Linked DNA regions of Tamandua tetradactyla. The protein of the gene in region 1 purifies or fractionates together with the protein of each later gene. This does not show direct contact. Links are inferred from orthologs where the notes say so. Each region holds a gene or a part of one and is shown in the gene's direction. Other genes may lie near its edges. The genes, in order: YAP1, PHGDH, RNF187 and PATJ.

Region 1 (6,851 bases):
ACGTTGAAGTGGAAAAGACTGATAATTGGATTAATCCAGCTTAGTAGATCCTGCTCATTGAAAACATGAGGCAATGGAATTGAGAGCATAGATATTTATGAGAGGTTGAAGCAATGGATTATTATCTCTAAACGAATAGAAAAGGAAGTGAAAACAGGAGAGAGTGATAGATTGGGAGAAAGGAGAGAAGTCATTGTAAATGCAGTGTGAGTAATGAAACAAGATCATTTGGATATTAAGAGAATGATATATCCTCCCTACATGGGACATGACATCCAGGGGTGTCTCCCTGGTAACATGGGATTTCACTCCCAGGGATGAGCCTGGCCCTGGCACAGTGGGATTGACAATGCCTTCCTGACCAAAAGGGGGGAAAGAATTGTGACAAATAAGGTATCAGTAACTAGAGAGTTCAAATAGAGTCGAGAGGAGGCTATTTTTACACAAGCTTCAGCTAGATATTGCTGTTTACCATGGTTTGCCAACCCCCAACCAAAACTATTCCTGCCAATCCTAAAGAACACCTAGGGCTCTATCTGAGATTCTACAAAGGTTCTGTGCACTATAATTACTTTCAGAAACCTACAACTTCTAGATGGGGTCCTGAAACTCAGAGGGGCCAGCCTCTCCAGAACATCAAGTAATTCCACCCCCCATCCCATATTATCAATAGCCCTTTCCAACATGAAAGAGTTAGAATGAGCACAGTCCAAATACCCTTAAAGATTGGGAGAAAGATCAAAGGAGAAGGTGGAGTTATAACAGAGAATATAGGAATTGTCTAATGAGTATTACTGTTGAATTATATTGATACTTCTTTTAGTCTCCAGTATCTGGAGCAACTATAAGGAAAAACCTGAAACTGTGGAACTATAATCCATGCCAAACTCTGAATTTGTTCTTTAATTGTTGGGGTGTGCTTTGAAATTTATTGCTTTTTTTGTATATAGGTTATTTTTCACAATTAAGAAAAGAGTTTGATTTCAAGACTGAGTTATTTTGGGATGATGTTAGGGTGCAGACACAGGAGAAGGTGGCTGAAGTGGGGTGGAGGTGAGGATTCAGTGGAGTTGAGAGGTCAAGTAATTCTAAGAGTAGTGTTTTGAGAGGATAACCTACATGGACGTTGGAAATTATCCTGGTAAGTCTTTATATGAAGAAGGTGTCTCTCCATTTTAAGGTTCGTAAACTGGTAATTATTCCAAAAGGGGATGGAGAGAGGGGACAATGTGTTGAATACATGTTATTTTTATCCCTTTCTAACCTGATTGAAATTTTATAGGTGAGGAATACCAAGTTAAAAAATCCTGGTTGATGGTACAAAGGTACTTAGAGAACATAAAATCACTCCAAACAACTTTCCAATCCACTTATCCAAGTAATTTTGTCACAATTTCAATGGCAGGTGAAACAATATTGAACAAAGCAACCTCTGCTGTACCTATCCTAAGCCCTTTAATTGTAGTGTTCACAGTAGTAGATGCTGTAGTTAAGGGACAGCTTCCATTACAATTTCAGATTTTCAATCACTTTACTTCTTAAAATATTTTCATTCAAAGTTTTAAATGCATAGTTTCTACCCAAATGATCTATGGATGGATGGTTGAATGTGAGAGGAATGGTCTGCCAAGATCCCAGCAAGGACAGCTAATAACGCTGTGCTTAGAGAGGGACCCTTACTCCTCTCTAAAGAAGAGGCCATATCATGGAGTGTGTGTGTGTGTGTGTGTGTGTGTGTGTGTATGTGTGTGTGTGTGTGTGTGTGAGAGAGAGAGAGAGAGAGAGAGAGAGAGAGAGAGAAAGAGAGAGAGAGAGAGAGAGAGAGAGAGAGAAGTAATGTATGAACATGTGACAGTGTTAATAGCTGACATTATTCATCATACACTAAACACTGGGCTAAGCACTTTATCCCCATTGACTCATTTAATACTCCAACAACCTATGAGGTAGGTATTATTATCCTTCTCCTCCCCAGTTTTAAAGATGAGGAAATAGTAACTTGTCTAATGTCTCAGCTAGTAATGGTGTAATTGGGACCTGAAGCCAAATATCTATAACTCCATAACCCACAAACTTGTGATTAAATGCACCTGACATTTGGAGAGGGGGTAAAATCCAAGAAGGGGTCGTGGGCATCATTTATGCTGGGATTCTTCTTCAGATGGGAAATTGGGGTCCAGAGCACTTGATTAACATAGGGCATTAGAAGCTTGGCAGTCTGAAATATCATCCTCTGGCACGGCTCCACCACCAGATCCCTCAGAATTTCTGTGGGCACATCCTGGAGGAAGAGATTATCTTTTTTTTGTCAAGGGCTCTTTCCTTGTTTATACATCTTTCTTTGTTTCACTAGCATTGCAGATAAAATCATGAAAAGCAGCAGCCAGATTTCTTTAGAAAGGGTAGTAGATTTAAAGAGTGATGTTGCACAACCCTGTGAGTAAACTAAAAAAAAAACATTGATTTATATGGACTGAATTGTATGGTATGTGAATTATATCTCAAGCTGTTTCTTAAAAAATGAAGAGTGGTAGTACAAATTGAAAACAAATTTTGATTGCTCCTGGGTGCTTTCAAGTGACTTCCAGGCATATATGGCACTGCCATATTGAGGACCAGTGGTGTACTCCTGGCCCATTCATTTCTCATTCAGTCAACATCCACCGAATCCTGCATTGTACCAGCAACAGTGATAAAAAGGGGTAGACTCCCACCCCCTCTAGGATGAAAGAAAGGCAGGTACACCGAGGAAAGTTTGTAACCAAAGGTAGCACTGATTTTTCGCTTTGAGGTTTTCAGTGACTATGTTGCAAGTTTGAGTGCTACAATAGTTGATGTCACTTAAAAACACAATGAAACTCGTGTACTTTAATTCACCGGACAGGATGAGAGGCAGGCAGTCACAATGCCCCGAAGTATCTAAACACTGCAATCATATATCCCTTTCTAGTGGATACTCACATGCTAAAAGCTGAGTGAAAAAATACCAAATCCAACTTAGTGTTAAAAAACAGATTTTTATTAAAAGCGGCGCTTGCTACTGGTATCTGTTTTAACTCCAACCTATTCTTGCGGCTTTAACCCAGAATTGGCAGTACTGGTGGGGTTAAATCGAGCTAACGCGGGGCGGGTTTAAATGGATTTCCACGTTCTATACCAACTTTTTTCGGCCTTCCATTTCGTATCTCCAGGCAAGAGGAAGCAGCTTTTTCCCGAGGACTGCGGGGCGGGCCGCGTTCTCCAGAGAGACCAACCACAGTTCGGATCCAGGAGGGCCCAGTGTTTCCATCCGGCCGGCAGCCCTCTGCGTCCCGGCTTCTGCCCCTGGATACACAGCGGAGGACCAGACTGAGGGCAAATTAGTCACGTGCGGCCGGGAGTTTGCAGGAATGTAGTAACTTGCAGGAATGTAGTAACTTGCAGGGGAAAGTTTCCCTCCGCGGCTGGTCGCGGATTCGGCGCGGGCGGGCGCGCAGAGGAAGGAAGAGCCGGGAGGAGGCGGAGCCGGCGAGTGGCTCGGGCGGGCAGTTCTCTCAACTTTAGTTTTGGCGTCTGAGCCGAGTTTCTGTCTCAGTCGGGCGCAGTCGCCGCCGGGGAAAAGAAAGGGAGGAAGGAAGGAACAAGAAAAGGAAATAAAAGAGAAAGGGGGAGGGGATAAGCAGCTAGCTGTTCGGCCTCCGTCAAGGGAGGTGAAGGAAAAAAAAGTTCTCAGGCGCCGCAGGTCCGGGTCCTTCTCAGCCCCTCCCGAAGCGCAGCCGCCAGACCAGTGCAGCCGGGGCGCAGGGCGGGGGCGGAGGCGCCGGGCGGGGGATGCGGGGCCGCCGCGCAGCCCCCCGGCCCTGAGAACGAGGAGAGCGCCGCTCCCGACGCCCAGCGCCGCCCGGCCCGCAGCTCTTGCCGCTTCTCGCGTCTCGGCCCGTCGAGCCGGGGCGTCCGGGCGGAGCCCTCGTCCGCCGGGTTAGGGGGTGTGCGTCGGGGGAGGCAGAAGCTATGGATCCCGGGCAGCAGCCGCCGTCTCAGCCGGCCCCCCAGGGCCAAGGGCAGCCGCCCGCGCAGACCCCCCAGGGGCAGGGACCGCAGCCGGGGCCCGGGCAGCCGGCGCCCCCGGGGTCCCAGGCGGCGCCGCAGGCCCCTCCCGCTGGGCACCAGATCGTGCACGTCCGGGGGGACTCAGAGACCGATCTGGAGGCGCTCTTCAACGCCGTCATGAACCCCAAGACAGCCAACGTGCCCCAAACCGTACCCATGAGGCTCCGAAAACTGCCCGACTCCTTTTTCAAGCCGCCGGAGCCCAAATCCCACTCCCGACAGGTAACCTAGCCGCCTCTCCCCACATCCCCGTCGGGCGGGCCCCAGGCCTGGGCCGGGGTCGGGGGATCGGGATCGTAGCCCGGGCCGGGGCGAGGGTGTTCCGGGGTGTCTGTCGGGGGCTAGGGGGACTCTCCCCGGTGAGGTGTGCCAACTCCAGGCGCCCGCGCGGCCGCCGTTACCGAGTCCGGGAGTCGGGGGCCGAGATTTGTTTTTCCCCTTGGAGTTTCTCTCTGCGGCTGCAGCCCCGGGGAGTGTGCTTTTCCCCTTCTTCCTTTCTTTCTTTCTTCCCGGGGTTCCCAGGAGGTTGGCGGGAGTGGAGGGGGAGGTGGGGAGGAAGGAAGGGGGTGGGGAGAATCGCCGCCCGGGCCGCGGTGGGCTTGCACAATGCGCGCGCCTCCGCGCGCTCCGCACCTTCGCTCCCGCCGCGCCTGGGGAGGGGGAGGGGGGCCTCTGGCATTTGTGTGTGGGTGAGTTGCCAGCGGCGGCCGAGTTTGTGAAGTTGAGCCCTGGGCCCCCTTTCCTTTGGGCCTCCTGGTTCACTTCAGTCTCCTGGGGAGTCAAATAATTGTTCTCTTGTTTTCCAGTGTTGATTAGAGGGTGGGGGTTGAACCAGTCCATTTAGTTTCTTGCTCTTTTTCCCCCTCCCCCGGCCGAAGGCATTTATTTCCCTCACTGCCCCGGAGGTTTTAGAATACAGGATCCGGGCTTCCCCTGCCCAGGCTTTCCTGGAAGTTGTTTATGGAGTTAGATCTTTCACCCCTGGCTTCCCTTGAGACCTGGAACTCGGGCAGGCCCTCTCTTATTAAACCTAGTAGGTTCACGTGTTGGTTTCCTAGTTGTAAACTATTTACATTCTGCTGAAATGCTTTTAAATTAGCCACATCTGCACGTTACCCAGGCACTGAGTTGCGCATTACCCGTCTCGAGGTTTTAACACAGCCTTAAATAATACTCTGCAGGTTGACTCATAGGCAGAGTCCTGCCTAGTTCAACTGTGATTAAAAGTTAATGTTTGGGAAGCTATGACTAATTCTAGGATCGCCATTGCTTTCTGTTTTTTTTTTTTTTTAAGTTTTTATTTTTATTGCCATTGCTTTTTAGTTCTTGAGGATGTGAACATGGCTGCTTTCCCACCTAGACAACGTTCGATTATTTTGTCAACTTGATTTAATATTGAAGTGAAATTATTTTATTTTGACAGTGTTAACGTTCCGATACGTCTCAGATTTATTTGTGGAGATTTTATTTTTTTTAAGAACTTGCTTCAGGCTAAACTTCAGCATAGAAACTTTGTCCAAAAGTTAATTGGTTTTCCAAATACTGCACTGTAGTTAGTCCACTCGGGCTGTAACTTGAGTGGAAAGAAGAGTTACGCCCCCATTTTCCTTCCCTCTCCTGTTTGCAGGCCTGTTATATATTCTCTTGCGGCAGACTTAAGAGATTTTGGAACTCAGAAAAGTTCACTCAACCTGCTGACAAAAACCGGGGTTAAGGACGAGGAAGGAAAAACAATTTATCTGCTTGCATAAATACTCAATTTGTAAGAGGTAGTGGACTCAAGTAAACTTTTTTCTCTCACACCTGCAAATTGGCATCTGGACTCATGGGTAAATGCATGTTGGCATGCATCCTACAGAGCACACAGCTATGCTGCTGGTTACTTAATAAGTTTTGAAAGCATAATACACTAAAAGTAAAAAAAATTTCAACTGAAAAGTATACTTATTCTTCTAAAAATATTTACACAAGAACTTATACCCATCAGTTTGTGGATAATAGTATTTACCTGGCAGATTCCTACTATTTATAATCTATAGTTTTGTTTGTTTTTAAAAATTTCTGAACTGTTGTGCATCTGTAAGTTTAACTTTTATTTTTTCTTGGAAACTTGACTCTAGTTTTAAGGTATAAATGATTTTGCAGATTCCTCCCAGTCTCCCTTCTTTGCCTTTATGAATTTAGGTAGTTGAGACTTTTTAATAATCAAACCCTCTTTCTAATCAGTGGATTTTAAACAACTACTAAATTATGAATAGATTGAACCTGAGCTGTAAATACTCTTGTCCACAAACTACTTAATGTAAATTCTTGTGTATATTTCATTTATTACCACATTTTTCCATCATGAAAAAAACCGTTTTACAAATAGAGAAAACTGAGGTTTGCAGGTTAAGACATTGTTCATTGTCATACAGTCAGCAAGTTAGAGTAGCTTGGACTGGAACCCAGCTATTTAGGGGTCAGAGTGCAGAAAAGTTTTTGCTATTACACGGTTATAAATATGTAAGTGTGTTAGCTCTTAAGTTATATAAGAAATAGTTAAACTGTTAGTATCTTTGTCATGTAGGTAAAAAGATGTGGTTGGTTTTTCATTTCATTCATTAAGATAGCTTTAAAAAGACAACTTTGGGGTGGTTCTGGATCTTTTTGCATTCTTTAAAAGTTGTATAACTTGTGATGATTACTTTATTGATGGCATTTGTTTATAGTGAGTATAAATGACATTTGACATGGTTTAAGATTTGGCCTAGAAAAAACAT
Region 2 (7,313 bases), on another chromosome or scaffold:
GATTTTTAGAACTATAATGAGGGCAAGTTCCCTAGAGGTTAAAGTTTACACTATTGTACATGTCAGGCGGGCCCATTTTGGTTAGACCCAGCTCCGTTTATCAAGATAACCTTGGAATTGGGGTGGGGTGGGGGTTAGTTAATGCTGGGCCGACTGGAGGCCTTTCATTAATAAACATTAGGGGCTGTCTCTAGTGAGCATAAGAGTCTAACCTTAAAAACCCGACGAAAAGGGTACAAGTGAGGGTCTGTCACATGCTTTTACAATCACAAGGACACGAGATAAAGGCTATACAATCATTATCAGAGATCAAGGCAATTGGATTAGAGTCCAGAGATTTCACGTATTTCCCTCTGTCTACTATACTAGAAAGTGAAAAAGAAATACCATATGACCATGTGGTAATCATAATTATCCCCTAAATTTTAACTTCTCGGATACAACTTGAATACCTAATAATATCCACACTTCATTTTTTTCTGGACACCTTTGCCAATGCATTCCCTTTTTTACTTAGGCCTGGTTAAATTGTGTTTCTGTTGCATCCAATAAAATCCAGACTATTCACAATGCCTGAACGATCTGCCCCTGCCAACCTCCCCCACGTCATCTCCTGTTTTATTACCATATTACAGGAGCTCTGACCTTCTGCTAGTTCCTAGAAGCCATGCTCTATCCTACCCACGGGACTTGATCTCTAACTGTTCCCTTCGCTCCAAATACTCTTCCAGATGTCCTTCAATTGGCTTTGTCTCCACCTTCGGGTCTCGGCTTAAGAGCGACCTTCTCAAAGAGACCTTCCTGACCAGCCAGGACAGAGACACTGCACCCCGGCTCACACGCTGCATTGCAAGGGCCCTGAGAGCAGAGAACTTGGGTCACTCGTCCAGCATTGCAATCCCTGTGTCCAGCAAGGCCTGGCTTATACTTAAGTGCTACATAAATATTTGCAGGCAAGTTCCTCGAATATTCCAGACAGATTCTGCTTTTCTCTCTACCTAGAAGTCTCTTTCCTTTGTTCTTTGCATAGTGAGATCTTTATTTCGGTCTCATCATCTCAAAAACGCCTTCTCTGATTATAAAGTCTAAAATAGATGCCTCTCCCCCCATCCCCCTATCCTCTGTATCACATTTGCCCGTTTTATATCCTTTTTTTTTTGGTGTTAAGTTTTTTTAATTGTGTTATATATACATAACATTTGCTATTCTAACCATTCTTAACTGGAAACTCAGCTTTATGTTCTTCATCATACTTTTATCCTGAGTATGATGTTCAGTCAGTTATTTATTTCCTATCCCCAATCAGAATATAAGCTCCATGAGAACAGAGACATGTGTTTGTCTTGTTCTAAGCTTTGTTTCCAGAATCCTCAGCACTGCCTGGCACATAACAGGATCTCAAAATACAAGTACTGATTGAATGCAATGAATGAACGATGAGTACCAGGCACTATAATACACTACACTTATTTGCATGCTTTGTCTCATTTAGTCTTAACAGCGAACTTCCGAAGTAAGCACTATCCTATTGTTAGTCCCATATTATACAGAAGGAAGCTCAGTCTTAGAGAGGCTATGTAATTTGTCTACGGTTACATTCCGGATTCGAGAATCTGGAATTAAAATTCAGACGTTTCTGTTTTGAGGCTGACAATCGTCTGCCTCTCAAAATGTCTGCTTTCTTACTGAAAATGCGAGTTTTAGAGATCACTGCCGGGCTCCATGTAGAAAAGGGGGTTCCTACTTCTCCTCCTCTCCCTATTACCCTTATCTTCACAGCTACAGGCAGAGCAGCTGAACAACTATGTCAGGTGCAGCGAGGTAGGGCCTGCTGCGGTGGGCAAGAGCCAAGAAGGGGAGGGATTGGGGACGAACAAACGACCTTTAGCTCAGGCGGGCTAATCACAAGAGTCTCTCTCTTCCCAGGGCGTTGGGGGGTAGGTCTGGGGGCCAGGGGAGGAGAAAGGAGTGAAAGTCTGGGGAGGACGGCTGAGCCATTTTTCCCAATACATCCAAGAGGGACAAAGTATTTGTTTTATGGATGCAGGCAGTAATGTAGGGAGGAGAAAATCTCCCCTGCTCTAATCCTGGAGGATAAGAGAAAAACATTCACCTTGCATTAGATGTTCCAGGCTGGTTGGGGGTGGAGCGGAGTGGGGGATTTATTATCTTCATTAGCAGTATCAGTATACAAGAAGTGTAAGTATGCATAATTGCTCAGCTCAGCCAGCACATGTAATCATTTCACTTCTTAAAAAAGTCACTCAGAGCCTGTGAACTGCCTTTAGCATTTCAACTCCTCAGGTAAGCAGGACCTGGCCCCTGACAGTCTTATCTCCTGCTCCCAGCCAGAGGAAAAGTCGCCATGAACCTCCGGCAATTCTTCCCATCTCTGGATGGTTGTAAATGTCATTCTTTCTTCTCTGTCTTCTGGCTCTTCCCATCCAGCTGCCTATTCAAGACGAGGCACTTGACCATGAGCTCGCTTTTTTTTTCATCCCCTGGAATTTGCTGGGTACGGGTCAGCTCAAAGGCAGCTTTGCTTGGAACTCCCTGGTGTCCTCAGGCTGTGCTGGGTGTTTTTCCTCCTCCCTCCCAAAGCCCTTCAGCACATCAATTTTAGATGTTAAATGTTGGTTTTCTCTCATTTTATGGAAAGAGTCTGTGTTTCATGTATCATCCTATCTCCAGTCTCAAACTACAATGCCTGGCATATAGTAGGTGGTCAAAAACTAACTTTCTTTGGGGGTGGAGGGGCATGGGCAGGCACCAGGAATCGAACTGGGTCTCCGCCTAAAGATCAGTTTTTGAATGAAACTCTCCTGAGCCTGTTACTAGGCACTGACCGAGTGGGAACATATTTAAAGCTATGTCTGATCTTAAGGAAATGAGAGTGGGAGGGGACAAGACAATGTACAAATGCATATTATACAAGGCACTGGGAGATAAGGAAGACAGTGCCTAGGAATTTAAAAAAAGGGAGGGACCATTTCTGATTTTTTATAGTAAAAATTATGACCCCTCCCCCTCTCCTTTCAATGTGGAAATTGTTTGACTCTTGTCTGTTAACTCTTCGCTTAATAGGTTCAGAAGCGCCTCTCACTGAACAACTTAAGTTCGTTTTAAAAGTAGGTGGGGCATAGATAATAGAGGGTCTCTGTGTGCAGGGTTGTTAGATAGTAGTAAAGAGGTTTGACTTGGTGGAAAGGGGTGGGATTGTACTTTAAGAGACAGCAGGGTTTAGATTCTGCACTGAAATGGGCATAGGGGATTCTGTAGGCATGAAAGAAAGTTACCCTGGAGGGAAGAGCTCCTAGGGCTGTTGGGCAGTTCCGGAGAAAACGAGAAAAGGAGAGAATACACTGGAGTGCTAGAAAGTGTGAACAACAAAATTTCTCAACAAATCAACAGGATAGACAAAATACTTTCCCACGGGGAGCATTTGGTCTAAAATCTGATATGGAACCCATTATCTAGGAATTATCCGTGCAAAAATGCTAACTCCATAGGATTAATACTGCAGTTTTATAGCATAAGGGTCTTGAAGTTCAGTTTTGTGAATGGTATAGAACAAGGGCACGCAATTGCTAACTACACTGTCTATAGAGCTGAATTCAAATCAAGCTGCTGAGCCTTCCTGATTCTGCTTGGTCCTGGGCAACCTTAAAAAAAAACCCCAAGAACACTGTGGTTGTGGGGTTTAAACAAAGTCCTAGGAAGTGCCGCCTTGGTCAGTACATAAACGAGGCCAGGCTGACATCTCATTTTCCTTTCCCTCTTTTTCATAATCAGAGGGGTAAGTGGAGGAAGAAGAGAAAATAAAAGGTGAACCAAAAATTCTGATTTAAAGTCCTTGATGTCTTTTAAACTCATAATTCTCACTGTACCGTTCATTTGAAATTAGAAACTTGCTGATCTGAGAGGTCTCAGGAACAGTTCCGCATTACTTTTTTACTGTGTAACCTGCCGTGAATGCGTGCTTGGTGCCCTTCGGTATTAAGCTGCCCAAGAAAAGGGGCTTCGTCTTTCTGACACTCCAGCCTCCTCCTGGACTCAGCACAGAACCTTGCCCACGATAAGTCTGCGCATACGCGCGCAGGAATTCATGAACGAGTCCTAAAGGGGGAAGAAGTAAAGTTCTTCTCTCAGGATCAGAACGAGGCTATAAATAAGGGTAAATTGTGTTTTGGGAAGAGCTTCGAGCGCGGCCGAGAAATCCGCGGTGGGAGAACAATGCAGCAGGCGGGTTGCTGGGAGGCTCCGAGCAGCGGGCGGGAGGCGGAGTCAGGGCGAGTTTGAACATTTCCGCCCAATCAAAAGGAGATGGTAGGAGCAGAAAGGGGATAAAGGGGCCCCGGGAGCCCGAGCAGCTTTTCGAGCGGCGCCGGCCCCCAGGTGGAGCGGTGTTTCTGGGTTTGAGGTCCCGCGCGCAGGGAGCAGCGGCTTCCGAGATCAGCCCCAGCCATGGCCTTTGCAAACGTACGGAAGGTGCTCATCAGCGACAGCCTGGATCCCTGCTGCCGGAAGATCCTGCAGGAGGGGGGGCTGCTGGTGGTGGAGAAGCAGAACCTGAGCCAGGAGGAGCTGATAGCCGAGCTGCAGGTCAGGCGGGTGGCAGAAAGGCGCGCGCTCCGGGCACCCTCCGCCGAGGACCGGCGGTAGCGCCCCCCCCCCACCATCCTCACCCCCGCCCCAGGGTCCCTTACCACCACCCCTCGCCCCGACTCAGTCAGTCGGGGGCCTCCAGAGGCTGGCCGGCGGCGGGCGGCGGGATGCAAACTTGTGCAGTTTTCAGCAGCGCGTCCCACGTGCGCGCCTCCCGCAGCAACGAGAAGCGCTGGCCCCGGATACCCGCGCGCCGCCTCCTCCCCCACCCCCCCGCCCGGGCCCCGACGCGCTCCCCCCGGGATCGGGGCTTGGCTCGCCCCACGGAAGCCCAGAACTTTCGCTGGGCGGCCCGGGGAGCGCTGGCGGCGCCCCAGCCTGACGCGTGGCTGCCGTGGGAGCTCCGCAGGGAAGGCGGCCTCGCTGGAGCAGCAAACGCTGCACCCGCCTTTCGTCTGATGCAAGACTGCGGCCGGCTTTCACCGCCCCCTCGGCCGCCCCAGGACGCCCAGAGGAAAGGGGGGGCGCCCACGAGGCGGTCCGGGCCACGGGGACTCCTCCTGACCCCCCCACCTCGCTGGCGGTCGGGACCCGCCGTGCCCGACTTGGAATGTGACCCCACACGCCCCCAGGCATGGATTTTTTTCTCCGAGCAACTCTTTCTCGGCAACTTATCTTCTTTTTGTTGTGATGCCTAATTAGCTTTATCTTCAAATCTTTATCTCCCTTGTTTGAAAAGCTCCTGCGAGATTGGGCGGCCTTGGCCCAATTTAGGGCATTTGTTTTGCGAACGTTTGCACCGCAGTTCCTGCGCCTCTTTCCGCTGCCCCGCACCCCGTGCCCTCCCGGGTATTCCCCTCCTGCTGCCTACCAGCTTCCGCACTCGTGCACCCCCTCTGCCATCCTTTCCTCCCAGGACCCCTTCAAAGAAACCGCCGAGGTAACAGCTGATGCTTTCTTTGCCTTCCAACCGCGTGGTCCTCCAAATTGCCTGTGCCCTTCCTGCTTGCTCTGGCACCTGCTGCTGTGTTGCCCCCTGGAATGCCCCTGCCCCCAGCCTATGGGGCTGCATCAGGTATCCAACTCCAGGCCTGGATCCGCAGTAAGATTCTGACGGGTCCCTTTCTACAAACAGCGCGCTGTTAGGGAGCGCCGCTACCCCTTGTGACACAATGGACATTGCACTTAAAGGCTACATGAGGCGGTACAGCAGCCTAGCCTTGGCCTGCTTGGAAAGTAGAGAAGCGGGTGACCATCGTGGGCTGGCGTGGCAGGCAGTGGCTCCAGGACTGAGCCTTGCTGTGGGTAGCCTCCAGCTTTCTGATGGAAGTTTGAAATCTTATACTTCCAGGGGAGGGATGGGGGGCAGGGAGGACAGAATTGAACACAAGATTGGGTGGTCTCACTGTAGTTGGGGGGTAGTCCATGGGGTGAGTCCTGGAAATCTGGAGCCAAAACTTGCAGAATGGTTTAAAAGCCTTACAGACTCTTGGCAGGAGGGGGCTGGGAGTGGGTTGTTGCCTGCAGTGACTTCTGGGCACTAGTGTGCCCTTTGGGAGAGCAGCTTTCATGTGTACCTTTGAGAGCATTTGGTTAAACTTCTCTTAGTCCACTGAAGGGCCCTTATTTCCACATTATGCTTTGCTCTGCGTGGAGAGGCATCTGGGATACTGCCTCCTGCCCCTCCTTGTTGGCATTGTTTTTTTTGAATACTGAAGGAATCATTAGCACTATTGCTAGGACTGGGATTGGTGCCAGTTCTCACTCGTTTGTATTCTGGGTAGGCAGTTTGCTCATTCTGTGCTCCGTGTTTAGGAAATATAATCATTCCTCCAGAATGGCGCTTTTCAAGCTTCAGCAAGCCACAGCTCATTAATGGATTCTGACCAGCGTTTGAAGAATGCTAGTAAGGCAGAGTGTTGTTTTATGAAATTTATTTCCATTATATGTGAGTATAAAAATGCAGCTTACAAAATGGATGTCTTACTGTGGGTCTCAGTTGAAAAATTTGGAAAACACTGATTTAGTATCTTGTTTGAAACACAACAAAGTAGACTGCTTACCCCGTTTCTATCAGTAGGTGCTGCATCTTAAATAAACCTATTATTTAGGAAAACATGTTTAAAATAATCTCATTATATTTCAGTAGCTTTTAAGCTTTGACCATGACCCGCCATGAGAAATTCATCCTACATCATAACGCAGTACAAACATACATATAGATTCTCAGATATATTTATATACGCACACCCACACACTAAAGTTCCCTGAAATAATGTTTATCCTTACTACATGCGATATTTTCTTCTGCTTCATTAAATAGCAAAGCTGGATAAAATCCACTTAATTAATCACAGGTGATGCATTTAACTTTTTGAAGCACATTGTTAACTTTATCTTAGAATTTCAGGAAAGATGAAGGTAGTAAATTTCCATGCAAGAATCCATCTTTTGAAAGGCACTTTTAAATGGCACGTTCCCAGCCTGCACTAACGTTTACTTTACAAAAGGTAAATCCGCAGCAGTTAATCAGGATCACACGTGTGCAAAATAGGACATGCCTGCGTTCTCCACAGCTGGCAAGCACGGCCAAGAGAGTTTCACTGACTTCCTCTATGATTTAATAGAATCAGTGGCCCGAGCCAGGGTTAGAATTACCCCAGGTCTAAGCCTGCCCTCCTTGGGGAAGGGAGCATGTGAGAACTTGA
Region 3 (7,270 bases), on another chromosome or scaffold:
CCAACCCTAAAACTTTACTAAGTCTGGATTTGCTCTGTTGTTTGACATTTTCTTCTCTTTCTTTCTCCCTTCCTTCCTTTCTTTCTCCCTTTCTTTCTTTCTTTTCTTGTGGTCTGTCCCCACAAAATTGGATTAAGATTAAAAGAACATGGCTTTTCTGGAGTATATAACAGTTTCAAACCAGCACACTTGCCATTCTGATTATGTCTTATCTTTCTTAATTTAGGTTTATTGGCTTTTTTTCCATAAGTAAAAAAGCACTGGAAACACAGTCAACAAAACTTGACTTGATTTCCGGTTATAATAATACACTTCGAGCTGCACTAACTTTGTCATTAAAAATGGAGTGCCACCTCCTTAGGTGACTAGGAAGATTGAAAGGAATCCCATGTGTGTGGAAACTGTCTGCAGTGATAAAGCACTGTACGTATCAGGGCACTGTTATCTGGTAACAAACATTTTTGTAAACAGAATATTCATCTCAGACATCTGTGGTAAAGACTCTGTGACTGAGGGAACTTGAGTATCAGGCAGGACATAGTTAAATCACAGGACCATCTGCATAATCTGCTGAGCTCAGTGCAGAATGAAAATGTGGGGGGCTTTTGTTCTAAGACCATTAAGAATCTCAAGATAATGTTAGGAGGGTATTAAAGCAACATGGACCCTTCTCAGTGCAGGGCCCTAAGAAGCTGCACAGATCCTGGCTCTGCATGCCCCTTAGCCAGCAGACCTTATTAAGGATGAATGCTTTCCATGGGTTTGTGCACTGACAGTTCCTTCACCCCTGCCCTGCCCTGCCCCTGTCATTTTTAAAAGCTGGGTCCTTTTGATTGGGTCTATGCTGAGATTTCTTGGCTTACTTCTGCTTTAGTGAAGGTTTGAAGCAAAACTTAGAGTGAAATTTTCCAAGAATGAGTTTGGGGGAAGATATTGTCTTTTCGATGAAGGGACTAAGATTTAAGAATTGTTCTGCCTGAACCTAGTGGCTGATTAGTTTCAGAAAACCAGGATAACAATCTCATGGGTTGTCTTGGGACCATAGCCAATGTGATATTGGCAGATGAAACATTATAGGGTAAACTTGAACTTTCCTCAAAGAAAATAAGAAAAGGGAAAGAAAGAAGGCAGGAAGAAAGAAAAAAAGGGGGGGGAATGAAAGGAGGAAGTGAGGGGAAGGAGGAGAGAGAGAGAGAGAGAGAGAGAGAGAGAGAGAGAGAGAGAGAGAGAGAGAGAGAGCGCGAGAGAGAGAGAGAGAGAGAGAGAGAGAGAGAGAGAGAGAGAGAGAGAGAGAAAGGAAGGAAGGAATAAAGAAAGGAAGGAAGGGGAAAAAAGGAAGGAAGGAAGGGAGAAAGAAAGAAAAGAAAAGGTCAAACAACAAAACAAATCAAACAACAGAACAAATCCAGACTTAGTAAAGAGAGACTATATTCAAGAGGATTATTGCAAAGTGGGAAAGAGATTATTAAAATAGAGGAGAACTATCACAATAGGGAGAATGCTCTGATCATAACATAGTAGGCTAAAACGAGTTTTCTTTTATAGGGAGAAAAGAACCAGGTATAAGAAGTGGGATGAAGGTTGGCATAATCAAATAGTAGATCTGAGAATATTTTATGCTGAAGCAGCCTATTTTCTGGGAGGGACCATTAAAGTTCAAGAGGGAAGGAGAGAAATTTAAGCAATGTTTGGTTAATAAGTATTTTGTTGCAATTGATTAGCAGGGAACCAGCAGTCCAGCTAATTATTGATGAGGCAAAGGAAGGGAATGTGGAGGGTCTGTGTCCAGCCTTGTCATAGGTAAACAAGGGGACATTCTGAGTCTTATCTAAGTCATATGGGGGAAGGGTGTTTTTTTTTTTCACGTTGTCCTTGTTGTTTTTGGTAAAAAAAAAGTTTTCCAGAATACAAAGGATGGTGGAATTTCTTAAACTTTGCTCCTTTCCAGAAATAAAGGCCTTGAGTAAGGTTCAACATTGCCAAACAGAAAAGGAGAGAAAGGGAAGGGAAGGGGAGGGGTAGAAAGGGGAGGAGAAGAGGGGAGGAAAGGGGAGGGAAGGGGGGGGGAACAATGGCTTCCAGTCTAGCCAGTAAGACAGACAGGCTTGCTTGAGAGTAAATGGTCTGGAAGACCAATTTTGAAAGGAGTTTTGCTGATAAAAATCATAGACACCTACTTTTCTTTTTTAATGGTTCCATAGTCCAGTGCCTGGTGTTAATGCTGATTCAATAAATGTGTTGAATGAATAATGCATGCAGGAAATGAACAAATGTTATCATCCAGGATATTTGTGCAGTGAAGGGGTACAGCCTCCGAACACGTGGAATAGGCCATGACTTCTTCCCACCCTCAACCAAGAGAAAACCACTTTAAAATTCTCACAAGCATACGTACATGGCACCTTGAAAGCATTGCAATGGCAAACAAATGGCAGATGGGTTTTACCTTCCAAGAGAGTGCTGATTTTGTACTGCAATACCTAAAGTAAAACATGCTAAACATATCTAGAGTCTGCCCAGAGGGTTCTCTTCGAGTCAGCCACCGCAAATATAGAAAGGGCATGTTTAAAGGCTTACTAAGAGTTTTAACATTTCGGGGTTTAAGAGCTGAAAGAAGGCTGATGGACCACATTACATGGGATGCTGTGGCATTTTGCATAGAACATGTGAAATACACTAAATGTATGCTCACATCCTCCCGAAAAAGGTCGAAGTGTTTCTAAGCTAGTCAGCGGAAGGTCACCAGGGAGATGTGTTGCAGAAAACTGGCCTTCCCAGCTTCAGTTAGGCTTCTCCAGGGACATCCCCAAGTTGTCCGAGTTTGGGGGCTGAGCCCTCCTCTCTCCTAAAGGCAAGGCTTTCTGCTGGGAAGAAATGCGGGGCTGGGGGTGGGAGCTCCTCAACTGAGAGGGGGCAGGGCAGAACTGGACAAAGGCACAGTGCTTGTTCAGAAAAGCCCACATTCTGGTCAAAGAAGGGTCACACTGGGGCCGTTTCAAGGGTTCTCCTGTCCTGGGCCTTTTCGCATGAGCCGTGATCGCAAGAAATTGCTTCTGGGCCTATTGACATTTTATTTTGATAAGTCGGTAATAAGCGCTGCGATCAAATTCAAGCTGCAGGTGTGAATAAAGGACAGCAAGTAATATAGAAGGGCAAAAAAACAAATTTGTGAAAAAGTGAGCAAAATAACGAATACTCGAGCCTGCGAAATGCGCAAACTCGAGTGTCAATCTCAGAACGTTAGGCAGAGATTAATGACTTCATAGAAGCTAAATTCTTCCCGATTTTGGTCTTTGGCATCGGCAAGCACACTCACAGGTGCATGCACTCTTAGGGCTAAATTATCCTTTCCTGGGATTTTCCCCGCTGCATGTGATGGATTACAGGTGCATTCAAAGCAGCGATCTAGTGTCTGGAGAAAGGTTCTCCTCCCTCCTGAACTGACATCAGGGTCACTGGTTTCCTCCGCTAACCTCGCAAAGCCGCTTCTGGCTCAAAAGTTTTTCAGAGGAAGCGCCCCCCACCCCCCCGCAACCTTATATATTTCTCTTACTTCGTATCCATAATAGTTATTAAAATAATTTAAGGGTTGTTGAAAGTGAATTTAGAGGCTTCACACAGTATTTGGAAGAGATATGGATACTAGTCAACACATATCACGAAACTTGAAGCGTCTATGAAAAGAATTCCTATATTTTCAGGATATTTTAGGTTTTTCAGGAGAGAAGAAGACAGCCCTTGAAGAGAGGGCGGCGGGTGCGCACAGCAGCCTGCCCAGGCACCCACCGGGGGCAGACATCACCACAGGCCAGCCCCTGCCTCCCCCAAGGCATCGCATGATTACTAGAGAATCACGATGATATGCAAGGACATGGAAGAAAACATGAAGGCACGGACGTGAATGAAATACAAATAAATGAACAACTAAGGGGAAAGGAGCGAAGGCGGTCAAAAAAAAAAAGGAGGAGGAATCGGAGTCGGGAGGATTGAATTTCGAGCCAATCAAGATCGGCCTATTTGGGTACATGCAGGAGACGCCTCCTGCTCCGCGGGCCTCTGCAGGTAGCGTGGGTGGCGCCGCTGTCCCGAGCATCCTGCATCCTGGCGCTCCCACCTCCCTGAGCCCCCAGACTCCCGTGCGCTTCGGCTCCGCAAGCCCGGCCGCCGTCCCGGGTGCCCATCCCAAGACGTCACCCGAGACCCAAAGCCGAGCCCGGCCCGGCGCGGTTCCTCGTATGCGCCCTCACCGCTAGGCGCCCGCATGCCGGAGAACACATGTCCCGGGATCCGCTTCCGCGGGAGGGGGCTGGAGCTGGCGACCCGGGCCCCAGGACTAGAAATCACCGCCCTTTCAGACCCCCACTGTCTTTGGTTGGTACTTTAGAATTTGGGGACAGGTGGAGCTTTTCCAACACGTTCTGTCTGGTTTCCGATTTGAAATTCCAGATTCCTGAATGAATTGCCCTAACTAGTTCACCTTTGGGCCTCCAGGTCCTTCCCCTGACGGAGGAGGTCTTGGTCTGCCTTTGTCCACTACCCTAAAAGATTAGCTGGATTCCTGATTAGACACACTCGGCCTGCTCTTTGTCTACTATACATATATGTTTTAATCTGTAGTGTCAGATTTTGTGCCGTGTCTTCCAGAGTCACCTCTACAGAAGAATTTTCACAATATTTCATACGCCAGAACAAATTCTAGCATTTAGTTAAAAAAATCTCTTTAAACAAGTAACAAATTCCTGTCATTTCTCGCGTATAGGAATAGGCTCAATGAGTTATTTTGCAGCAGGGCTGGGACTACAGTGTGGAGCTGGGGTGGTGTGTTTGGTTTTATATTTTAAACTTTATGCATCTGCCCACAAGTACCTGAGTCAGTCCAAACGTGTATGCAAACTACACATTTTATTGGTCAGTTAGCTCCTGATATAAGGAGGAAATTTAAGGAACTGGCCTCTGGGTCAGAAGCCCCTATGATCTCATAAACACTGCTTTTCTGTTTTTAATAAAAAGGACGGGGCTGCAGAGGAAGGTAAGGTAAGGTAAGGAAAGACAGGGACAGAGCTCAGCTCACAGTGTTTGCTGTGCATGGCCAACAGCTGCCTTGGGGCCACTTGGGGAAGAAGCCAGCCCGATCCTGCTACAAGTGTGGAAAGATGGAGGGTTGGAAATACAAGTGTCCTCAGGGATACCAAGAGCCCCTGGGGCCTTGCCTTAGGTGTAGGAAAGCCGGACACTGGGCCCAGGGGTGCACTGAGTCCCAGAGGGAAATAGAGACCCTCCTGAAAGCTTTTGTGACTGCTCCCAAGCAAGATTGAGGAGGCCTGGGCCACTAGTGGCTCCCTGGACTTCACTGAAAAACATCAATTGCGATGAGTCTTGAGTGACCTTCAATGTGGCAGGTAAGGCAATTGATTTTTTTTAATTGATATTGGAGCCACTTATTCTGGTTTGACCGGTTACTCAGCCCCAATGTCCCCGTGAGTCTGTCCTATTGTAAAAGCCAAAGTCTAAAGCCAAAACCGTCACCCAGCCCCTTCTTTGTCAAATTGGCAGCATAATTTTGAATCATCAGTTCTTGGTGGTACCAGCGTGTCCTAGCCCACTTCTAGGAAGAGACTTGCAATGGGCATCGGGTGCACAAATCCGGCTAATAGGCTGCTGGCCTACCCAATGTCTTAAGGATGCTTCAGAGGTGTCTGTAACTGTATGTCCAGCTTTAGCTGGATCCAGAAACCCAGACAGTCTCACCCTGAACTGGCTAATGAAGTCAGTCCAGTGGTATGGGAAACAGAAATATCCAGAAACGCTACTCACATCTCTCCGATCCTAATCAATTGACAGGATCAACCCTTTCCCAAGAGAAAGCAGTACCCTCTTAAAACTGAAGATATAATGGGTATCTAACCCCTTACCCAGAAGTTCCTGAAAACTGGCCTTCTAGTCACTTGTCAGTCTCCCTGTGATACCCTACCCTGCCTGTCAAAAAGCCACATGGGACGTATGAGTTGGTACAGGACCTCAGACCTGTGAATAGCTTTGCCATTCCCCCTTCATCCTCTAGTTTCCAACCCTTATACTCTTCTTAACAAAATTCCTATCTCTGCCCTAAGATACTTAGTACTCGATTTAAAATATGCCTTCTTCTGTATGTCTTTAGACCCAAACTCCCAATTTTTGTCTGCCTCTGAACGGCAGGGTTACTGGTTTGAAGATGTTATATACCCCAGAAAAGCCATGTTCTCTTTCCTAATCCAATCTTGTGGGGGCAGACCTACCACTTAGGGTGGAAAGTTTGATTGGATTATTTTCGTAGAGATGTGCTGTGCTCAGTTGGGGTGTGACTTTTCTTTTTGTGGTGTGACATTTTGATTAGGTTGTTTCCATGGAGATGTGACACACAAGTGTGGCTCGGATTTTTTTATTAGGTGGAGATGTGATTTCACCCACTCAAAGTTAGTCTTTTTTTTTTAATTGCTAATTATTTTTTGTTTATTTATTCAGTGAAATTTTTAAACAATTTTTATTATGAAATATAACATATATACAAAAAAGCAATAAATATTCAAAGTACATTGTAACAAATAGTTGTAGACCAAATTTTAGTTTGGTATGGGTTTCTGTTCCACAATTTTATGTTTTTCCTTCTAGCTGCTCCAAGAAACTGGAGACTAAAAAAATATAAATATCATGATTCAGCAGTGATACTCATTTGTTAAGTCCTACCTTCTCTGTATAACTCCACCATCACCTTTAATCTTTCTCCCACTCTTTAGGGGTATTTGGGCTATGCCCATTCTAACTTTTTCATGTTGGAAGGGGGTATTGGTAGTATAGGAAAGGGAGATGGAACTAGTTAATGTTCTGGAGAGGCTGACCCCTCTGCATTTCAGACTCGCATGGTCTGAGTACTCATCTGGAGGTTGTAGATTTCTTGCAAGTTACCCTAGTGCATGGAACCTTTGTAGAACCTTATATAATGGCGAAGGTGTTCTTTAGGATTGGCAGGAATGGCTTTGGTTGGGGGGTTGGCAAGTTATTACAGGTAGCAATGTTTAACTGAAGTGTGCATAAGAGTGACCTCCAGAGTAGCCTCTCGATTCTATTTGAACTCTCTCAGCCACTGATACCTTATTTGAAACACTTCTTTCCCCACTTTTGGTCAGAATGGCATTGTTGATCCCACGGTACCAGGGCCAGACATCCCTGGGAATCATCTCCCACACTGCAGGGAGAATTTCACCCATAAATGTTGTGTCCCTTGTAGGAGGGA
Region 4 (7,711 bases), on another chromosome or scaffold:
CTGGTTAGGGGTTGGCAGGTCATGATAGGTAGCAAGGTCTAACTGAAGCTTGAATAAGAGCAATCTCCAGAGTAGCTTCTTGACTCAATTTGAATTCTCTCTGCCAATTCTTATGGGTTTTTAAAAATTTTTATTCTTGTAAGATATATACAACCTAAAATATCCACTTTTAACCACTATTCAAATATATACTTCAGTGGTGTTAATTACATTTAAAATATTGTGCTACCCTTACCGCCATCCATTACCAAAACTTTTTCATCAACCAAAATGAAACTCTGTAGCAATTAAGCATTAACTCCACATTTCTTGTTCCCACTTCTGCTGCTGGTAACCGACATTCTAGTTTCTGACTCTATGAATTTGTTTATTTTAATTATGTCTTATCAGTGAGATCATATATTTTTGTATCTGGCTTATTTCACTCAACATGATGTCGTCAAGCTTCATCCATGTTGTCACATTTGTCAGAACCTTATTCTTTCTTATGAGCAAATAACATTCTATTGCATGTATGTTTATCCATTCATTTGTTCATGGACATTTGGGTTCTTTTCATCTTTTGGCTATTGTGAATAATGCCTCCATAAACATCGGTGTGCAAATATCTGTTCAAGTTCCTACTTTCAATTCCTTTGGGTATATTCCTAGAAATGGGATTGCCAAGTCCTATGGTAACTCTAACTTTCTGAGGAACCCACCAAACTGTTTTCTATAGCAGATGTACCATTTTACATTCCTGCCACAATGAAGGCAAGTTCCTACTTCTCCACATCCTCTTCAACACTTATTTTCTTTTTTTTTTTTAATAGTAGCCATTCTAGTGGGTTTGAAACAAATCAGAAACCTCACTGTGGTTCTGATTTGTATTTCCCTAATGACTCAATGATATTGAGCATCTTTTCGAGTGCTTATTGGCTATTACATATCTTCTTTGGAAAAATGTCAATTTAGGCCTTTTGCCCCTTTTTAAATTGGGTTGTTTCACTTTTTATTGTTGAGTTGGAAGATTTCTGTATATATTCTGGTATTAAGCCTTTATCAGATTTCCAAATGTTTTCTCCCATTCTGTAGCTTCTCTTTTTACTTACATGTGAAGTCCTTTGATGCACAAGTTTTTCATTTTGATGAAGCCCATTTATTTCATGTTTGTTTTGCTGCCCATATTTTTGGTGTAAAGCCTAAGAACCCATTGCCTAACACAATGTCCTGAAGATATTTCCTCATGTTTTCTTCTAGGAATTTAATAGTTTTAGTACCTAGGTTTTTCATCCATTTTGAGTATATTTTTGTATATGGCATGTGGTAAGGTTCCACCTTCATTCTTTTGCATATGGATATCCAGTAGTCCCAGCACCATTTGCTGAAGAGACTATTCTTTACTGATTGAATGGACATGGCATCATTGTCAAAGATCAGCTGGCCATAGATGTGAGGATTTATTTCTGAACTCTCAGTTTGATTCCATATGTCTGTCCTTGTGCCAGTAACATGCTGTTTTGATTATTGTAGCTTTCAGTAAGTTTTAAAATAGGGTATGTGAGTCCTTCAACTCCATTCTTCTGCTTAAGATGGTTTTGGCTATTTGAGGCCTCTTACCCTTCTATATAATTTTGATGATTGGCCTTTCCATTTCTGTAAAGAATGTTGTTGGAATTTTGATTGAACTTACGTTGAATCTGTAAATTGTTTTGAGTAGAATTGATATGCTAACAATATTAAGGCTTCCAAACCACGAACACGGAATGTCCTTCCATTTATTTAGGTCTTCTTTGATTTCTTTTAGCAATGCTTTGTGGGAAATTCACATTCAGCAACATGAAAATTAAATGAAATGTGAGGGAGATAGATGTTTGTTGTGTGGACAGGAAGGCCACCTATTTTTCACAATAGGTGAGACTGAGTCTAGGCCTGGAGGAAGTGTAGGGCTTACAGGAAATTCTAGGCAAGGAGAAGAGGATGAGTAACCAACACTAAAGTCATGGTGTAGTACAGTGCATGGATTCTGAGCGGACCAGTTTGTTCAGAGTAAAATCCTGAAGAAGTGAATTGGGAGATAGGTCAGCAAGAGAGGGAGAGTTTGTAAGACCTTGAATACTAAGAGAAAGAATACTTTGTTTCAAGGTACATTCAAAGTTACCTATGGTTTGTATTTTTTTTTTTTTTTTACTTTTTTAATTGTGAAATATGACATTATATATAAAAAGCAATAACCTATGACTTTTTTGATTGAGGGGTAATATGTTCATAATGTTGATCATCAGCTGTTAGAGTAGAAAGAGACCCAATATTTGCAAATTGTTTGAGATAATGGGTCACTATCTCCTGACTAGGAAGCATTTCTTTCTACCCTTTAAGACTGATTTAAGTCTTGATTCTTTCAACAAGCATAATAGATATCTCTCTTTTCTGAAGTTTCTGGCTTCATTCTTTTTGATAATTTATTGCATAAGATTATTCTCAGTTATTAGTTCCTTAAAAGCAGGGGCCTATGCCCTTGATCCTGAGGCTTATTTTTGTGAAGTTTATGTGGGTAGCGGAGAAGCTTAGACTGCCTATAGGCATGCTTAAAAGTTACTTCTGGAGGACCTCTGTTGTGCTCAGATGTGGCCTCAGTCTCTCTAAGTACAAATCTGCAAGTGAAATCATTGACATCCCCCCTACATGGGACATGACATCCAGGGGTGAAAGTCTTCCTGGTGACATGGGAGATGACTCCCAGGGATGAATCCGGCCCTGGCACCATGGGATCAACAATTCCATCCTGACCCAAAGGGGCAAAAAGAAGTGTAATAATAAAGTATCAGTGGCTGAGAGAGTTCAAATAGAGTCGAGAGGCTACTCTGGAGGTTGCTCTTATGCAAGCTTCAGTTAGACATTGCTCCTATCATAACCTGCCAAATCCCAATCAGGACCATTACAGCCAATCCTAAAGAACACCTAGGGCAATAAATAAGATTCCACAAGGGGTCTATGCACTCCAGATGGGTCTCTGGTGCAGATAAGTCCTGAAACCTAGAGGGTCAACCTTTCTAGAACATAAGATAGTTCCATCGCCCTACCCTGTATTAGTGACAGCCCCTTCCAACATGAAAAATTTAGAATACCATACCCCAAACACCCCTAAAGAGAGGGATGGAAAGATCAAAGGTGATGGTGAAATTATACAGAGAAGATAGGATTTAACAAATGAATATGATTGCTGAATCATTAAATTGATGTCTCTAGTATCTCAGAGCAGCTAGAAATAAAAACCTAAAATTGTGGAATTGTAACTCATGTCAAACTCTAAAATATGTTCTACAACTAATTGTAGTGCTGTGCTTTGAAATGTATAGCTGTTTTGTATATACGCTATATTTCACAAAAAAAAGAAGGAAAAAAAGTCGATTGTGATGATAAAAAAAATATTTAAGCCCTCTAGCCTCTTATACTCAGGAGCAGCAAGAAGGAAATAAAATACGAGAGGATTGTATGGCAGCCCATGACAAACTCTGGAATCTGTCTTGTAACTACTTGTTGAAGAGTGCTTTGAAAACAATTGCTTTTTTATTTCTTTGCTTTGTATATATGTTCTACCACACAATAAAAAAGTTGAAAAAAAACAGGGGTCACGCTAACATTGTGTATTTCTACCAGGCCTAACAAGTGGTATTTCCTTTAAAAACACACGCAAAATATAGTGTGTCAAGTGCATGATCTTACAACAAATGTCCTTTTGTTGTAGATATTTCTTAAATATGCTTCATCTTTCTTGAAGACGGATCCCATTATATACATCTCCCCACAGAGCCTATCACTATGCTTAATGAATACTGCATTTCTTCGATGAATGAGATACCTGAAGATGGATCGTTTTTCTTTAATTGTGGACTGTAATTAGATGAAGTAAAATGCCTATCATAAAACTACTAAATTTAATTACATTAGAGTGGAATAATGCTATTATGGGGTTTGCATAGATCTTTCTCAAACTGAGGTTATGATATCAAGAAAAAATGTATAATGAAGTCAGCACCGAACTTAGGTGACCCGGTCTGGGTCCCCAGAGTTGGGCCAATCAGTTAACCTATCCCATTTGTGGTTTCTTCAGAGCAAGTGAGATATTGTGGAAGCTAGCACCCGGCATAGGGTAAGGGCTACCATTGATTCAGTATTTCCCTCCTTCAACTAAATGAGAAGACTACAAACCACACCTTTTGTTCCCCCATAGCTATACATCTTGGACTATTTTACATTGAATCAAGGGACTGCAGAAAACGTAAGGACAGGTTGAGATAAGAGGACAGAAAGAGGGAAAAGGGAAAACAAAAGGCTAAGTAGATTTGACCAAATCATTTCACCAATGTCCTCTTTTAATTTCCTTTCAAATCGGGTTTTGCTCTCTGCCCAGTTCCCATACATCTGTCTGGCCACATTCCCCATACCTTTCGTGCTGGCTGCCATGCTACTCGGTGTCTCATCTCCACCCTGCACCCCAAACCCCACTTTTCAAGGGTCAGTTAAAGTCTCTTTAACCCCCCCCCATTCCCAGCCGAATTTCACCTAGAGACAGTAGTGCAGCCGACTGTCCTCCGACCCCCGCGCCCTCCTGGGAGCCGGCCTCCCGGTGCCCCACTCTCCCAATCCCGCCCCACCCACGGCACCCCAGCGCCCCGCCCCAGGCGGGGAGGATCGATGCGAGGGGCGGGCCTGCCAGGTGAGGCGCGGCCACCCTGGGCCGCTCACTTCCGCCCAGGTGAGCGACTGACGCCAATCCCGTCCGGCCTGGCCTTCCACCCAGGTCTCCGTGGACCAGGTAAAGCGTGGGGGTTTCTTCTGCGAGGGCGCGCACAGCGCCGCGGATCCCCGCGCCTCGAGGCGGGCCAGGAACAGCCCCTTTCTCGCGTCCCTCGCCTGCCTGCCCTGCCCCCGGCGTATCTGCCGTTCGCTCAGAGGGGGTGGGGACAGGACACGGAGGGCGCCGCCGCGGCACTAGGCCAGGGCCGCGGAGGGTGAGGGGTGCTCGCGGCGAGCGCCAGCGCTGGCTCTGGTGGCGGGGCGGGGGCGTCTGCCCCCCTGCGGGCTCGGCGTGACCTTCCCCGGGTCTCCCACACTCCGTGCGGGACTCTTCCAAGGCACCGTTCGCTGACCTGCCCAGTCTCGGCAGGCCCTGCCGGACCTGAAATCAGCGCCGGGTTCTGTTCTGGGAGTGGCACGGATCATATTTTCTACCTAGATAGGTGCCTGCCTATTCTTCGCCCCAAGAGCTGGGCGGAGTCTTTACCTCAGGCCGTGGCTGTGGTAGGAGTGAACAAGTGGTGCCCGGTTGGAGGGTGGGGGGACCGGGAAGGAGAGGGTGCCCGTGCCCGCGCTTGGTGGTCACGTAGCAGACGTTGCCAGGCCAGCGGTCCCGCCTGGGCTCTGCTACCTTCGCTTCGTAGATGGGGCGGACGAAGGAGAAAAATGCTCTGGCCTTTGGGGGAAATTATGGAATTCTTCATTTAAGTCAAGCTCTAAAAAGCATTTCCAGATAAATCCTACCCCTTCTGGCACACCCACCAAAATCACCTAGCTGACTGAATTAATCTCCCTGTGGAGTGCTCCTTAGCACTTTGTCGGAGAGCCTTGTGGCTCTTATCGCTTTGAATTCAATTTAGTTGTTTACTATTTTTTCGCCACTATTGAGGGGGCGTTCCTTGTACGGCCTTATTTGTTTATCTGTTACAGTAGGGTTAGGCCTATTGGTAAGTGCACAAGTGTTTCTTAAATGAACGAAGTCTTCTGGAAACTAAAGGAAAAAAAATCTCAATTCCAACGAAGGTGACAAAACAACTGTATAGGTTAAACTCTTTTGACAGTCAAAATCATTTACACACATCCTTTTAAAAGAAAGCTAGGGAGGCCTGGAGGTGAAAATTTAAATTGGTTCATTTTGCAGCACCAGAAAATGTTAGGTGAGGTTGTTACATTCAGCTAAAATGTGTTGTTTAAGGCCTCTAATGGTATTTTTAAAGATTTTTAAAATTTTGTGATAATTAGAAGGTTAATAATTATCATAGCTGGAATGTATATTGTGGATAGCATTTATGAATTGAGATCTGAAGAGATTCGCCCTGGCTAGTTTACAGCCTATTAAGTGTCACATAAGATGGGGTTGGCATCAGCATCAGGATAATAGTCTTGTTCGAAGTTGAAGTTGTATTAAGCTCTCATTTGTGTTTAAAGATGACTTAAGTTCAAGTCATGTATTTATTACTTTTTTTACAATGTGAATATTTCTTCCTATCTATAAAACTTACGTATATTTATAGTAGAGAAATTGGGGAGAATTTTCAAAAAAGGAAGAAAGTACAAACCCTTTCACTCACCATTGAGAGTTAATAACATTATGGTATTTATTTTTTCAGTTAGTAGTCTTAAAATTAAGAAGAAGAAAATATTTTCCCATAGCGAATTTGCTTTTAGTGATTCTCAGTGGCTCAGCAGTTAGTAATCTTTGCAATTGCATTTTTACTTGAAAGTATTTAATAATTATCCTTAAGCCGAAAGCAAGCAGTCTGAACCTACTTGTACCACTTCCAAAGGTTTTGTTAAAGTTTAACAAAAATACATTAGGCTGGGGAAATCAAACTGGAGTTAAGACTTTGCTCACCTTTGTAGTAAAGTTTTTTGAAAAACCGAGGACTATTCCACCTAAATGTTTGAGATTGCTTGACCATAGCCATGTTTTTCTTATTCAAGGATTTTTGCGTATATCTGGATGCCTTTTTTTTTAAAGACCCCATTTTAGGTGGTGGTGGAAATGGAGAACAATTTAGTGCTTTTCAATGCCATTCCTTTAGACATTTCACGTTGATGCTGAAAATGTATCGTCCACCTGTATTTTATTTATACAGATGTGCAGTCTGTGGCATTTGGAGACATGGAGTTGAGTCCATTTATCATAAAACTCTTGGCAAGCCTTTAACTCGATAAAGCTCACTGAATACCTCACTGAGTTTTTGGGAGGTAGAAATGAAATAAAGTTCAAGAATATCTTGTAATTACAAGCCATTATTCTCCTCCACTGATGTTTAAAACTGGTCAAGTAGAATTGTAGGATTTTTGTTGGGAAGAACTGATAGTTACTTTGCTAAAAAGCAGAGAAAATGATAAGCAAGTTTGTTAAAATGTACCAAGGTATAGGTTAAAAGAGTCAATGCAGTAGCCTTTCCACATGTAGCTATTGGATACTTGAAATGGGGCTAGTTGGAATTGAAATACACCGTAAATGTAAAATACACACCAGATTTAGATGATTTAGTGTGAAAACCTAAAATATCATTAATTTTAAAGTATTATTTATGTATTGAAATGATAGTGGATTTATTGGGTTAATAAAATATATTTTTAAAATTAATTTTACTGTTTCTTCATCTTTTTCATGTGGCTATTGGAAAATTTAAACTTACATATGTGGTTCACATTATATTTCTATTGTACAGCAGTGGGTAAGAATGCAGAATGAGCATGTTTATTCTTAAGAAGGTTTAGTTTACTGAAGCACTTACCCTCCGGTTTACGGACTGATGTTTTTATTTATTTATTTATTTTTGCATGGGCAGGCACTGGGAATCGAACCCCGGTCTCTGGCATTGTAGGCGAGAACTCTGCCCGATGAGCTACTGTGGCCTACCCTATACTGTTGTTTTTGTCTCTAAGCTATACTTCCTTCCCATGGCTCTCTCTC

Evidence for each region.
Region 2: the proteins of YAP1 (region 1) and PHGDH purify together in Homo sapiens (affinity purification with mass spectrometry, with the first as the bait; 4 studies listed by BioGRID). This does not show direct contact. The link is inferred for Tamandua tetradactyla from reciprocal best matches to the Homo sapiens genes YAP1 and PHGDH.
Region 3: the proteins of YAP1 (region 1) and RNF187 purify together in Homo sapiens (affinity purification with western blotting; 3 studies listed by BioGRID, with this or other methods). This does not show direct contact. The link is inferred for Tamandua tetradactyla from reciprocal best matches to the Homo sapiens genes YAP1 and RNF187.
Region 4: the proteins of YAP1 (region 1) and PATJ purify together in Homo sapiens (affinity purification with mass spectrometry; 7 studies listed by BioGRID and IntAct, with this or other methods). This does not show direct contact. The link is inferred for Tamandua tetradactyla from reciprocal best matches to the Homo sapiens genes YAP1 and PATJ.

Annotation. Positions count from the first base shown.
Region 1 is NC_135334.1:40,798,969-40,805,819, reverse strand, and holds the start of YAP1 (transcriptional coactivator YAP1), read left to right. Parts: upstream 1-3,840; 5' UTR 3,841-3,990; coding exon 3,991-4,311; intron 4,312-6,851. UniProt on the Homo sapiens protein: Transcriptional regulator with dual roles as a coactivator and corepressor. Critical downstream regulatory target in the Hippo signaling pathway, crucial for organ size control and tumor suppression by restricting proliferation and promoting apoptosis.
Region 2 is NC_135337.1:989,835-997,147, reverse strand, and holds the start of PHGDH (D-3-phosphoglycerate dehydrogenase), read left to right. Parts: upstream 1-4,299; 5' UTR 4,300-4,464; coding exon 4,465-4,602; intron 4,603-7,313. UniProt on the Homo sapiens protein: Catalyzes the reversible oxidation of 3-phospho-D-glycerate to 3-phosphonooxypyruvate, the first step of the phosphorylated L-serine biosynthesis pathway.
Region 3 is NC_135346.1:62,360,735-62,368,004, reverse strand, and holds the start of RNF187 (E3 ubiquitin-protein ligase RNF187), read left to right. Parts: upstream 1-4,261; coding exon 4,262-4,375; intron 4,376-7,270.
Region 4 is NC_135328.1:158,446,761-158,454,471, reverse strand, and holds the start of PATJ (inaD-like protein), read left to right. Parts: upstream 1-4,689; 5' UTR 4,690-4,798; intron 4,799-7,711.